4 linked regions of the Xenopus tropicalis genome follow. The protein of the gene in region 1 purifies or fractionates together with the protein of each later gene. This does not show direct contact. Links are inferred from orthologs where the notes say so. Each region holds a gene or a part of one and is shown in the gene's direction. Other genes may lie near its edges.

Region 1 (3,500 bases):
TTTTCTGTATATTTCATAGTAACATAGTAAGTTAGATTGAAAAAAAGATGTATGTCCATCACGTTCAATCATCTTCCTCACAGCAGGCACAAGAACAAGTATGTGAACAGATTGAAAAAGCAATGTTTAAAGTAATGTAAAATCCACAAACAAAAACAATTCAATAGAAAGTAAAATCTTGTTTTTGCTGTGTGTATTTTCATTTTCTGTCTGGCTGTGTAGAAATATATGGTGATTAAACAGGTACACCTGCATGCTAAGCTTGCTCTTTGGAAGCTATTGGGTCTGTTTCACCCTCTCTACTCTTCTATCAGGTTGGATCAGGAACTGGACTTCATCTTGTCACAGCAAAAAGAACTGGAGGACCTTCTGACTCCTCTGGAGGAATCTGTGAAAGAGCAGAGCGGAACCATTTACCTCCAGCATGCAGATGAAGAGAGAGAGAAAACGTGAGCCAGTATTATAATGTAATAACTAAGAAGTATAAGATACAAGGAGATCTGGGTTTGTGATTATACTCAAGTAGGCTTTGGTTATGAGAAAGGGAAGGCATGGTTAGGGCCAAATAATTGTGAATATCTTCCTGAAATAAGAATAATACATATTCAGAATGTTTCCCTCAAGAATAAAAATTGCATATCATTCATGTTACCCTTTACTACTCACTCCATGCAGGGTTGTGTCATTGAGTTGGTTATTTATAAATACACTTTGGTCTAATATATTGTTTAAGCAAAGGAAGGACACCCCAATTTATTTCACCTAACTGTCGGTTCTGCATGAAATCATATATATATATATATATATGAACCTGGAGTGTGCTGCCAACGTTTAAATCCTCTGCATGAAGAAAGGCTGCTCAGAGGGGGATAGTGAAGTGTAGCTTAATCATTTTAAAACAAGTTCTCGGTTCTGAAATAATGTTTGTGTATGTGATGTGCCTTAGGTAAGACCTTTTTGATGAAATTATGCTTTTACATTCCTGTTATATACTCGAGGAAGGGATAGGAAGTTCTGAAAAAAATGAATATTAACCGAAAAATAATGGTTTGCATAATGAAATAAAAAAAATAATTGTATGTAACTTTCCAGTACAGGTATGGGATCTGTTATCCGGAAACCCATAAGCCAGAAAGCTCTGAATTACAGGAACGCCATCTGTTACCAACATTATTAGCAAATCTAATTTTTAAAATTGATTTTCTTTTTCTCTGTAATAATAAAACAGTACCTTGTATTTGATCCCAACTTAGATATAATTAATTGGAGGCAAAGCAATCCTAATGGTTTTAATGTTTAAATAATTTTTAAATAGACTTAAGGTATGGAGATGCCTTATCCGGAAAGCCCTAGGTCCCAAGCATTTTAGATAATGGGTACCATACCTGTATAACCTGTATAAATTCTTTAAATTCACTTGCAGCATAAATCAGAACACTAGCTGTAAATTAACTCTGTATTCTTTAGATTTTGTTCACTTTTTCTATAGGTATTTTTTTTTTATGCTGTGCAGTCACAGAATTCACATCATCAGTACTGATGTTCTGTGAAACTAGATATATTTAGTGTGTTTTCTGTTTTTTATTCTTTTTCTTTTTGTCAAGCTTTAGCAAGCAGGTACATTTTTACATTGCTGCACACATTTTGCTATCTTTGGGTTTATGTAACCTGTAGAGTAATCCTGAAATTACGAAACATTTGGTGTGTTTTCAGGTACAAGCTGGCAGAAAACATTGATGCCCAGCTGAAGCGCATGGCCCAGGATCTAAAGGAGGTTATAGAGCATCTGAACACATCAGCTGGGCCAGGGGATGCTGGAAACCCGGTTAGTACTCTTTCTTCTCTGGAAGAGATTTCATGTTTCTTATTTATCTCTTATTACATTTTCTTGGATCATACTTTATCACTCTAATCAAAGGGGTCCTCAAACTTCTTAAGCAAGGGGCCAGTTCATGGTCCCTCAGACTGTTGATCGGCCAGACCACCACCCCCCGACAAACTATGGCCGACTCCTGCATTCTCTCCCCTGCCAGGGGTGAGGACACAGTGGTGGCCGGGTAAATTAACCTGGGGGTCAGGATCCGGCCCGCGGGTCATAGTTTGAGAATCCCTGCTCTAATGCTTCTATCTTTTTACAGTGGTTACTCACATCTTTGCCAATTACTAACTCTGCATTGCTGGCTGCTTTTACTTTATAACTGTCAGGCCTCTCTTAGCATTATCACCTTTTAACTTTTGGAGTGTTCATTTGTATTTGTATTTCTTCAGCTCCAGCAGATATGCAAGATTCTCAATGCCCACATGGACTCTTTACAGTGGATTGATCAGAACAGTGGTGAGTTGAAGAATGAGGCTTTGCGCAAAGTTTGTATTGGAAACTAGCATACCATAAAATAATAGCATTTTTGTTTATTTTAAATCGGATCTGTTCTGTGCAGAATAGTAATGATGCTGTTCTGGGTCAAAGCTGAAAATGCTGTGTGGAAACTGTTCTTCATAGATTGCTCAGGAAAGAAAGGCTGTAGCTTTCTTTTATATTGAATAGCGCTATGCTTTACACTATTTATCAAAAAGTAAAAGGAAGTAGAAGGACTACATCTGGCATTTAATAGAACACTTTGTTCTTTGAAACATGTAGTTTATTGGCTTGCTTTTATGCAATTTTGTGTGTGGGTATCCGTGCACAGCTTGTTTACAGTTGTACTTGAGGTGCATGGAATACTTGTTTGCTCTTGTGGAGAAATCTTTGTCACCCCTTGGGTCGCCTGCCATTGAAGTGAATTGCAGTCACCTATAACCAAGCATGGATTTTGTTTCATAGTTTTAATAAACAGGTATAAATAAGGAAGGACAATATTTATAGTTAAAATGGTCTGGACACTGAAGGTGGCAGCTTGTCGTCCCATTATCCCAGACGATAATCAGCCAGATCTTGATAGCATTGGTGCATTGATGTGGTCCTTATCCCTATGGCCCATATCATGTCAGTGTCATCCAATCGTTTGATCCTTGGGCCAGATGATCAAGGTGATTAAAGTGAGCTTATCAGCGAAAGATCCACTCATTTTGTGATCTTAAAGCATATGGGCAACTAAAAAAAAAAAAAGTAAATGGACCTTTGCATGAGCCACTTGCATTTCACAGACGGTACGGTGTTGGCCTAAGAATTTCACGACAGGCACAGCATGGCCCACAGAATTTCACTATTGGTGCAGTTAGTGCTGGGCGGTATGACCAAAAATTTATATCACGGTATTTTTTTTATTATATCGGTATCACGGTATTTGACGGTATTTTTTTTTCCCCATGCATGATTACGTGACCACCCCAAACACCCCCCCCCCAACCCCAAACACCCCCCCATCCAACCCCCCATCCAACCCCAAACACCCCCCCATCCCCTTCACATAAATAAACCTTACGGACCAGGCAGCCGCAGGCACCCCCGACAGCTCACAGAGCCTCCTGGCAATTTTTCTTACTATTTCCGGGTTGCGCGC
Region 2 (2,406 bases), on another chromosome or scaffold:
GATTTCTATTTACTGGCGCTCTTTCATTGGCTCGCAATTAGTGATGAGTCAGCGTGTTCCGTTTGCTTGGCAAAAAAATTGCAGTTGGTCTTCATTTTCTATCTATATTTTTTTTTTTTTTTTTTTAGTTCAGCAGCTATCTGGTTGCCAGGGTTCAAGTTACCTTAGTAACCAGGGAGTGGTTTGGATGAGAGACTGGTATATAAATAGGGGAGGGGCTGGATAGAAAGATAAGTAATTACAAGTAACAACAATAAAACTGGAGCCTCACAGAGCAATAGGGTTTGGCTGCCGGGGTCAGTGACCCCCATTTGAAAGCTGCAAAGAGGCAGAAGAAGGCGCAAAACATTCAAAAACAATGACAAATAATGAAGACCAATTGAAAAGTTGCTGAGAATAGGTCACTATAACATACTAAAAGTTAGTTTAAAGTGTACTACCCCTTTAACCCTCGTGCCCTTAGTATATTTAAATTTTTTTTAAGGGTCAGAGCATTCTGGGAATTGTAGTTTGGATGTTTGGGAATTACCTTTACCAACCAATGGGGGCTGATGTTGTTCCCCGTGTGCTTAGATGCCGTTATCAATGAGAACTACCGGTACCTGCGGGGGTTCCTGGGGGAGCTGGCCAGGCCCGAGCACTGCAAGCACATCCAGGACTGGGAGACTGCGGGGAAGGTCTATCTGGATTATATCAGTGTCATTGAGATGCTCAACCAGATCCGCCAGGTAACAGCGCTCTCATTGGTGGGACGCTCTGTATTAACCCATGCCGGCACAGACTAACTCTCTCCCCTGCTCATAGGACGAGTGCTCCGGCGGCGAGTTGGAGAAGTTACACACCAAAGTCATGTCTCTGTGTAAATGGGTCGAGCTGATCCAGTGCTACAGTGCCAAAGGCCGATTGGCCCAGTCGGGTAAGAACTTCCACTAACTGCCCCGGCGCTACCACCCCTCCCCGTGTGGCCATGATGGTTCTTTCCAACTCTCTCAGGAGCAGCGAATGGGCGCTTTGTCTACTGTTTTTCACTGCAGGCACAAGTTGCCCTTTAAATGCCAACTAATAGGGCTAAATTCCACAGCTAACTATGTTCCTGATCCGCCCCTTTATGCCCAGGACACACCCATGATTTTAAAGGAACAGTAACACCAGAAAGTGTTTTACAGTAATGAAAATATAAAGTACTGTAGGGATATTAGCAGTCACTGAGGGTCCAAGGCTGCAGGCTGAGTTATACAGGGAACTCTGAATATCACTCATGTATTATAAGGGATAATGTACCCCCTACTGTAACTGATAAGGATATTAGCAGTCACTGAGGGGTTCTGTGCCCCCCATATAAAGGCACAAGGCTGCAGGCTGAGTTATACAGGGAACTCTGAGTATCACTCATGTATTATAAGGGATAATGTACCCCCTACTGTAAATGATAAGGATATTAGCAGTCACTGAGGGGTTCTGTGCCCCCCCATATAAAGGCACAAGGCTGCAGGCTGAGTTATACAGGGAACTCTGAGTATCACTCATGTATTATAAGGGATAATGTACCCCCTACTGTAAATGATAAGGATATTAGCAGTCACTGAGGGGTTCTGTGCCCCCCATATAAAGGCACAAGGCTGCAGGCTGAGTTATACAGGGAACTCTGAGTATCACTCATGTATTATAAGGGATACTGTACCCCCTACTGTAAATGATAAGGATATTAGCAGTCACTGAGGGGTTCTGTGCCCCCCCATATAAAGGCACAAGGCTGCAGGCTGAGTTATACAGGGAACTCTGAGTATCACTCATGTATTATAAGGGATACTGTACCCCCTACTGTAAATGATAAGGATATTAGCAGTCACTGAGGGGTTCTGTGCCCCCCATATAAAGGCACAAGGCTGCAGGCCGAGTGCTTTTATACAGATCATGTAAAATATAAGGATATTAGAAGACACCTCACTTTATTATAATATATACAAGTTTCAGTGAGCCATGTGACAAAAATGACATCACTAAGCTCCAATTATAACTGATGACATCACTAAGCACTGTTTATAAGGATAGAATTCAGTTTGGTCCCATAGGGAAATGACCCGACTATATTATGAATTAATTACTTTGTAACTTTCACTTTTGTGGTTACTGTTCCTTTAAGTAAATGATTCACTTAATGAACGATTACACTTTTTTCTCAGAAATGGCGAAACGCGTTGCCAACATCCTTCGAGTGGTGCTGAGCCTGCAGCAGCCCCCGGAATCCATGTCGGACTCCTCCTCTGAGCCCCGCGTGCCTTTGAGACTGCTGGCTCCGCACATCGGGCGCCTCCCTATGCCGGAAGACTACGCCCTGGAGGAGCTGCGAGGCCTCACGCAGTCGTATCTAAGGGAACTGATCTGCGGCAGCTAATGATCCCGCCT
Region 3 (3,500 bases), about 26 Mb from region 1:
TGAAGTCCAGGCGTCCTATAACTGTAATGATCCAGGCCTTAAAATAGCTCCCCATTTTGGTTCTTGTTCGGCCATCTTTTTGTGTCAGTGACACTGCACATGCTCAGTGTGCTCTGGGCTGCTGGTGAGTAGCTAAGCTTCCGACAGCAGCCAAGATTGTGTGCTATGAGTTAGCAGAAATGAAAATGGGATGCTATTGCAGGCATGTTTTTTTTGGAGGAAGAGCCCTTTACTGCTAGAGGCCAGTGGTGGCTGAGTTGGACTGGCCCACTGGGATACTGGACCCTGTGTCGCCCTGCCACCTACTCGCAAGCAAGCGATCCCAGCCAGCACGACTCTGCTGCCATGTGTTCCACTATGGAATGCACAGTAAAAAGTGGAACAGGAACAGCGGTTTCTGGGTGGTGGGCCCTTGAGTTAGGTTCCGAGTGGATCATTGGTCCCCCAGTCCGACTAAACTATTCCAACAGTGACTTCTGAAACAGGGCTTGCAGTGTCCCTGAAGCAGATGAATGCTTATAACTTGTAACTATAAGAAAAAAAAACATCTTCATTCTCTCACTTCCATTTTTGTGTTCACAGCAGTGGTTTCAGTTTCAACAGTGTATCTTCTGCTCCTGTTACAACCTCTGCCATGGGAGGCAGCTCTGCAGGTAACTCACCCTGGAAAATATATATATTACTGTTCTTGTTCTGCTTGAACTACTATCATGGTGATATGATGGACTGCAATTTTCTTTCCTTTTTCAGGTTCTGTTACCGCTGCAAGGGATTCCAACCAACCATCCTCCTTTGTGTTTGGAGGTACCAGCAAGTCTTTATTTGGTCCTGGGGCAGAAGGATCGTTTTCTTTTGGATCAGTTAAAACTGCTTCCTCCACCTCCAGTACTTCCACCGTGGAATCCACATTGGGCAAACCTAGTGTTGTTACAGGCGTGTCATCCTCATCCACCGTTACTAGCACTGCTGCAGCCATCGGCAAACCCGGGGATGGCCTATTTCAAGGGTTTTCAGGTGGAGAGACTTTAGGAAGCTTCTCAGGCCTGCGTGTTGGTCAGGCTGATGAGGCGTCCAAGGCAGAAGTTGCCAAAGCGCCCCCTGCTGCACAACCAGTCAAGTTGCCCAGTAACGCTGGTTTGTTTAGTTTTAGTGGAGCTCCGCAGCCAGCGAAGGCTGGAGAAGCACCATCCTCAACCGGCAGCACCTCTGGTTCTTTATTTGGAAATGCGCAGTTAACAAGTACAGGATCTGCAGCAAGTGCATTCACCCAAAGTGGCAACAAGCCAGCCTTCTCTTTTGGGCTGCCACAGAGCACTGCCGCTTCAACGGGAGCTACCTCTGCAGTTCCGGCCTCGTTCCAAAGCCTCCTGGTTTCCACAGCTCCAGCCCCAGCAACAACAATTCCTTCAGCTCCTGTCAACAGCGGACTGGATGTTAAGCAGCCAATAAAACCTGTGTCTGAACCTGCAGATTCATCCACTTCCCAGCAACAAGCACTGACCAGTCAGTCAGTTGCCGAACAGGTTGCCACAGTGACTCCTGCAGCAACAACTGCCACTGTTTTGCCCCCACCTGTACCAACTCTTGCAATTCCTCCCACAGCTGATGCAAAGGTAGAAGGAGCGGCGGTTCCCCCTCTCTCTACCTCGGTCATTTCAGGTCAGAATGTAGCTTTCACATCCACAGTGGTTGCATCTCAAACCCCTTCAGCAAGTACCCCGGCTGTAGGCCTTTCCTCCCAGGTGCCAGTGCTGGTTACAAGTGCACCCCCCGTTGCTGCTGCTGCTCCCGCTGCAGAAAACACACAGACTGTATCTCTACCAGTACAGCCAACTGCTGCAAGTTCTGCGTTTCCTCAATCAACTGCAAGTGCAGCGTCCACTCCAGCAGCGGTGTCCACCCCAGTATTCGGCCAAGCCGTAGCTTCTGGTTCAACTCCCTCTCCTTTTGCTCAGCCGACCAGCAGTTCCGTTAGTACAACAGCCAGTACAGGATTTGGCACATCTACATTTGGTACGACAGGTGGGAGCGGAGGCTTTGGACAGCCCTCCTTTGGCCAAGCTCCTTCATTGTGGAAAGGTCCTCCCAACTCCCAAAATACTTTTCCTTTTGCACAGCCTGCTTTTGGGGCCCAGCCGGCTTTTGGGCAACCACCAGCATCAACAGCTACATCTAGCGCCGGCAGCCTTTTTGGCAGTGCTGCAAGCACAAGCAGTGCTAGTTCCTTCTCTTTTGGGCAACCTTCCAATACTAGCGGCACATCCACTTCAGGAGGACTCTTCGGACAAAGCAGTACTCCAGTCTTTGGGCAGAGTGCCACATTCCCCCAAGCTGCCCCTGTGTTTGGAAGTGCCAGCTCCTCTACAACCACCACCTCATCTTCTGTGTTTGGTTTTGGCCAACCAGCAGGTAAGGGTGTGTCACCAACCATCCCTTTTTTTGCTATAAATGCCTTCAAATATATGTACCAGTCAATAATGGTTTCTGCTTTTGTAGGATTTGCTTCCGGCTCTTCTGGTTCCTTGTTCAGTCAGTCTCAGAGTGGAAACACCAGTGTCTTTGGACAGGTAAGGATTTGTGTGTTTATCGTAACCTACACACGTACCATGCAAACTGAGAAAACACTGTTTTCTCTCACATCTCGTTGGGTGGGGACAGGAACAATGGGGTATAGCTTGTATGACTTGGAGGCAGGACACTAGAGGAGAAGAAGCACCTCCATCTTAGTTATACCCCCAAGCTCAGCTGCACATGGACCAGTTTTTCTAGTGTCCTCAGGAGGTTAAGATCTCGTCAATCAATCATCATTGTGGAAGTTCCAGACTTATCTGGACACCAGAGGATGTTCCTATACTGCCTATCCTGGGTAGACTGTTGTTCTATGGCTTCCCCCTATGTGGGATGAGTTTAGGCACCACTTTTCCCTTAGTTTTCTATGCTTTCTGCCTACTTACAGCAACTTTCACAATGCCCCATGTACTGTTAGCTTCAGAGCTGATGCCACAAGAGGATAAATTCACAGTAAACCCCAATGTTTAATTGCTTTCTGTGCTTGGGGTCTATAATATAAAGGGCCTTGCAATACACATGTGCTTCCCATTCAAGCTCCTTAAGGGTAAAGACACACTGAGCTACTAGTAGCAGCTACTTTTTCATGGCTACTGAGCTACAGAAAATCCCCTGCCATAGACAATACTGAGAATTGCCTCTGCTAAAACACACGTATAGACAATTATTAGTAAATGATCAGCATTGTCTATTTTAGTAGCTATGACAAGTAGCTGCTACTGGAAGCTCTGTGTATCTTCACCTTAATACCAATGTGAATGGTTCACAACAGTAGCTTCTGTTGTACCAGGACAGGAAAGGGGTGGCCCATTTGAGTACTAGACCAGCAGTAAATGATTATGATTTAAAAGTTCATGGGACCGGGGTGGCCAAATTAAAGTACAGGAATGAGATGGGGGGGACCTGCCCTAGTTCAGTTTGGTTTTCCTTTC
Region 4 (3,500 bases), on another chromosome or scaffold:
TGTGTTGGTCGGTTGCGAGGATTGAACTTGAAAACTTCATGAGTGTCAGCACACTTGTGGATGGGACAACATTATGATAAGCTGGATGACAAATGTAAACAGTGCATCAGCCTATGTTGCCCCGCCCCCCACAGCACAACTTAAACCAGGAAGCAGCTCAACATTTAGCCATGAGACCAAACTAAGTTATTTAGTCGTGAGCTGGGGGACGGCAATGGGGCACATCCATTAGAAAAGTATATCATCCCTAGGATTTTTGTTGGCATAGTGACACGTTCCTGTTAAAATTGTAATGTTTCACTATCCTTTTAAGTCTAATGATTTTCAAATCGGACTGGGCAAATGTTTACTTGTTTATTTTATCCCCCAACAGGGCTATCCCCATCGCTGAAAGGATTTTCACAAGCTCTACCTCTTTAGTTCTGAAGCAGGCCCTCTGGTACCCAAGTGAGACCCAGGAACCTCATTTAATTTTGCTGACATCTGATAACATATTAAGGTTTATTATTATTTATTATTATACCATGCCAAAGGTTTTTTTCAGTTTTAGGGATACATATATGTACATGTATCCAAATTGCAGAGAATGCATAGTAATTCTTTTTCACAAACAGGTTCCTTTATCTTTTTCTTAAAGGAGAGAGAAATAATCACTGGAGGGTGCGAAAATGTTAGGCACCCCCTGCTCCCGGTGATTAAAATTACTTCTGTAAAACCTTTGCTCCTGTTTGATGAAAACTGCATGTCTGTTATACTTATTTCATTTAATAGTATTAAGCAGTATACATTTCCAAAAAAGTCCTATTTATTGTGTTTTTGTTTATAGGTATATATAGGGGAATGCTGCCCTTTTAAAGGGGTGTAATATTTATTTGTTTAAAAAAAAAAAACTCCTTGAATCTGATAAGAATAGAGTGCAATCTGGATTATCCAGTCATTTTAATGTAGATCAGTATCCAGCATTTTCTAATGTGTTAGGTATGCATATCTTTTTTTTTTTTTTTTTTTTCATGTTTGTATTGCCATTTACAATATATATATATATATATATATATATATATATATATATATATATATATATATATTTTTTTTAGATTATATAATCTTCACGATCCACTGACACCTGAAAAAGTTATCTCCCTCTCCAGTGCTGAAGAGGAAACCACACTGCCCCATAATGGGTATGCTTAGTAACACTGTTTTGGCTTTGTCCAAATTGAAGTACTATGCCTAAATTTCTGGGTCTTTTTCTATATATATGCCGGTTTTGTGGGATTAATTTTAAGTTATTAGGAAAATTGGTTTAATCTTCTCCTATCCATAGTCCCCCACGATAGAAGGCTGTATTGTATGTTCTACAGGAAAATTTATTTTTTGCTACCATGGCAAGCAAAATGAAATAGAGAATCTAGCTTTAGCTGCATGAACTTAAATACATAATACTAAGAAGTTGGGGAAAGTGTGTATATGTTGCTGGGGTGATAAACTACCTAGACATGTATGCCTTTTGAACATGCTTTTACCTACTTACCAAGCTTCTCGGCTATCATGCCTGCAATGCCTCATTTAAAAGTAAGTGTTGTAATTGTAACTCAGTCTTGTAAAACTAGATGTAGGGTCTTCTGGAGATTTTTGTATTAAGATCATTTTATTATTAAATATGATTTATCCTCTGTAGAGAGTCTTGATTCCATCTTAACATTTAGGGGCAAATTTATCAAAATGTGAGTATAGACCTTAATACATAAAAACTCACCCAGGTTTTTATTCATTCCTATGGGATTTTTAGAAGTGTATCAATGGTTGAAAGTTATAATTCATTATTTGATAAATATGCTTCTAAAAATTCCATAGGAATGAACAGAACGTGGGGGGGGGGGGTTATGTATTAAAGGAGACATATTGTGTGAAAAAAAACAATAGTGTGTTAGAATAGAATGTGATAGAATGTGCTTTAAAAAGTAGTGTTTCAGTCTGATTTATTGAAAGGCTGTGCAGGGGGGCCAGCGGCACTCAGCACACTGCACTGTAGGATAGTAACTATTCAGCAGGTAGGCTGACCTGATGAAGTGAAATGAAGCCCGTCTTTGCTTGTTTGGCTGCAGGGCTGTGATTGGCTATCTCCATCCTACTGTGCTTTTGGCTTTTAAGGCACTCCCACCCCTCACTTGAAACACAGACAGGGACCTGAGAAGCTCCAATAAAGGGGCCATTTTTACAGGTAGTATTAATTTTACACCAAAGTGAAACAAGCACCATATATTGTTCATAATTGCCTACAATTATCCTATATGTCTCCTTTAAGCTCTAAGCTCACATTTTGATACATCTGTCTTTTTACTGTGGGCGTGGCTCCATGTAGATCAGGGATCCCCAACCTTTTATACCCGTGAGCCACATTCAAATGGAAAAAGTGTTGGGGAGCAACGCAAGCATGAAAAGGGTTCCTGGGGTAGCGGTAAGAGCTTTAATTGGCTACTTAATAGCCCCTATGTGGACTGGCGGCCTACAGGAGGCTCTTTTTGGCATTATACGTGGTTTTTATGCAATCAAAGATTGCCTCCTAACCAGAAATTCAAAAATGGGCACCTGTTTTGTCATGCCATGCTGACTTTCCATTCTTCTTTCATTGTGGCAAAAGCTGCCTACAGTAAAGCAATAGTGCAGTGTGCAACTATGGCATACGTCACACAGCTACAAAAGAGATGTCATGATCTTGGAGTGAACAAAAAGGCAGTGGCCAATAATTCAGCCATTTGTATCTTCTACATTCTCACCTGGGAGGTGATCCAAGTGCTGTGTGGGTGTAGTATAATTACTACTAAACTGTTCAGTGTGTTGTCGGACCTTCTCCAAGTCAGTTTAATGGCACTTTAAACAGCGTAAAAGTACGTTTTGTCAAAAAAGTATACCAGGAACCTTCACCAGAACTTAAATGCTTTGTGGTTCCTTTCAACCCCTATCCTGCTGTATTTTTTTTTTTTTTTTTTTTTTTTAATCTTTTCTTCAAGTTGTTCAAGATTCCTGTAAAATCTAAAAATAGAAGGGGTCAGCAAAGATTCTAATTGGTTTATTTTGATATTCACATGCTTTATCCTCTGAACTAGTATACTTAGTATCCACTGTAGCTGACTGTAGAGATGCTGATATATTATTGGAGGGGCTGTGTGACATGAACTGCAGCTTGTGATGTATAGGAGTGTAAAAAGATTTGTGTTTGATTGCAGGCGATCTTATAAAGCCTCCCTTGGTGAGACTGCAGTTGCTTGTGATTTCGGTCCACTTACACCCCTTCCAAAAGGTTTTGGACAATATAATAAGGAAGACACGGTGGCTTATCCTCTTTATATCTTATATGAAACTGGAGAAACCTACCTGATGTACATTGATCTTCAGAAGAGGTGGGACATGTTACTCTACAATAAAATGCAAAAATGGAAAATACAGTACATTAAAACTTTTATCTTAAGAAGCTTAAATGTATGTCTTTTTGATCTTAT

The links.
Region 2: the proteins of nup62 (region 1) and nup98 purify together in Homo sapiens (affinity purification with western blotting; 3 studies listed by BioGRID and IntAct, with this or other methods). This does not show direct contact. The link is inferred for Xenopus tropicalis from reciprocal best matches to the Homo sapiens genes NUP62 and NUP98.
Region 3: the proteins of nup62 (region 1) and nup214 purify together in Homo sapiens (affinity purification with mass spectrometry; 5 studies listed by BioGRID and IntAct, with this or other methods). This does not show direct contact. The link is inferred for Xenopus tropicalis from reciprocal best matches to the Homo sapiens genes NUP62 and NUP214.
Region 4: the proteins of nup62 (region 1) and nup88 purify together in Homo sapiens (co-immunoprecipitation; 4 studies listed by BioGRID and IntAct, counting the BioPlex papers as one, with this or other methods). This does not show direct contact. The link is inferred for Xenopus tropicalis from reciprocal best matches to the Homo sapiens genes NUP62 and NUP88.

What each region holds. Positions count from the first base shown.
Region 1 is NC_030684.2:38,701,771-38,705,270, forward strand, and holds part of nup62 (nucleoporin-62 C-terminal-like protein), read left to right. Parts: intron 1-314; coding exon 315-449; intron 450-1,713; coding exon 1,714-1,825; intron 1,826-2,268; coding exon 2,269-2,335; intron 2,336-3,500. UniProt on the Homo sapiens protein: Essential component of the nuclear pore complex. The N-terminal is probably involved in nucleocytoplasmic transport.
Region 2 is NC_030678.2:177,432,874-177,435,279, reverse strand, and holds part of nup98 (nuclear pore complex protein Nup98-Nup96), read left to right. Parts: intron 1-573; coding exon 574-728; intron 729-804; coding exon 805-916; intron 917-2,183; coding exon 2,184-2,395; 3' UTR 2,396-2,406. UniProt on the Homo sapiens protein: Plays a role in the nuclear pore complex (NPC) assembly and/or maintenance. NUP98 and NUP96 are involved in the bidirectional transport across the NPC. May anchor NUP153 and TPR to the NPC.
Region 3 is NC_030684.2:12,374,864-12,378,363, reverse strand, and holds part of nup214 (nuclear pore complex protein Nup214), read left to right. Parts: intron 1-582; coding exon 583-653; intron 654-750; coding exon 751-2,409; intron 2,410-2,496; coding exon 2,497-2,567; intron 2,568-3,500. UniProt on the Homo sapiens protein: Part of the nuclear pore complex. Has a critical role in nucleocytoplasmic transport.
Region 4 is NC_030678.2:105,080,629-105,084,128, reverse strand, and holds part of nup88 (nuclear pore complex protein Nup88), read left to right. Parts: intron 1-373; coding exon 374-499; intron 500-1,094; coding exon 1,095-1,181; intron 1,182-3,227; coding exon 3,228-3,401; intron 3,402-3,500. UniProt on the Homo sapiens protein: Component of nuclear pore complex.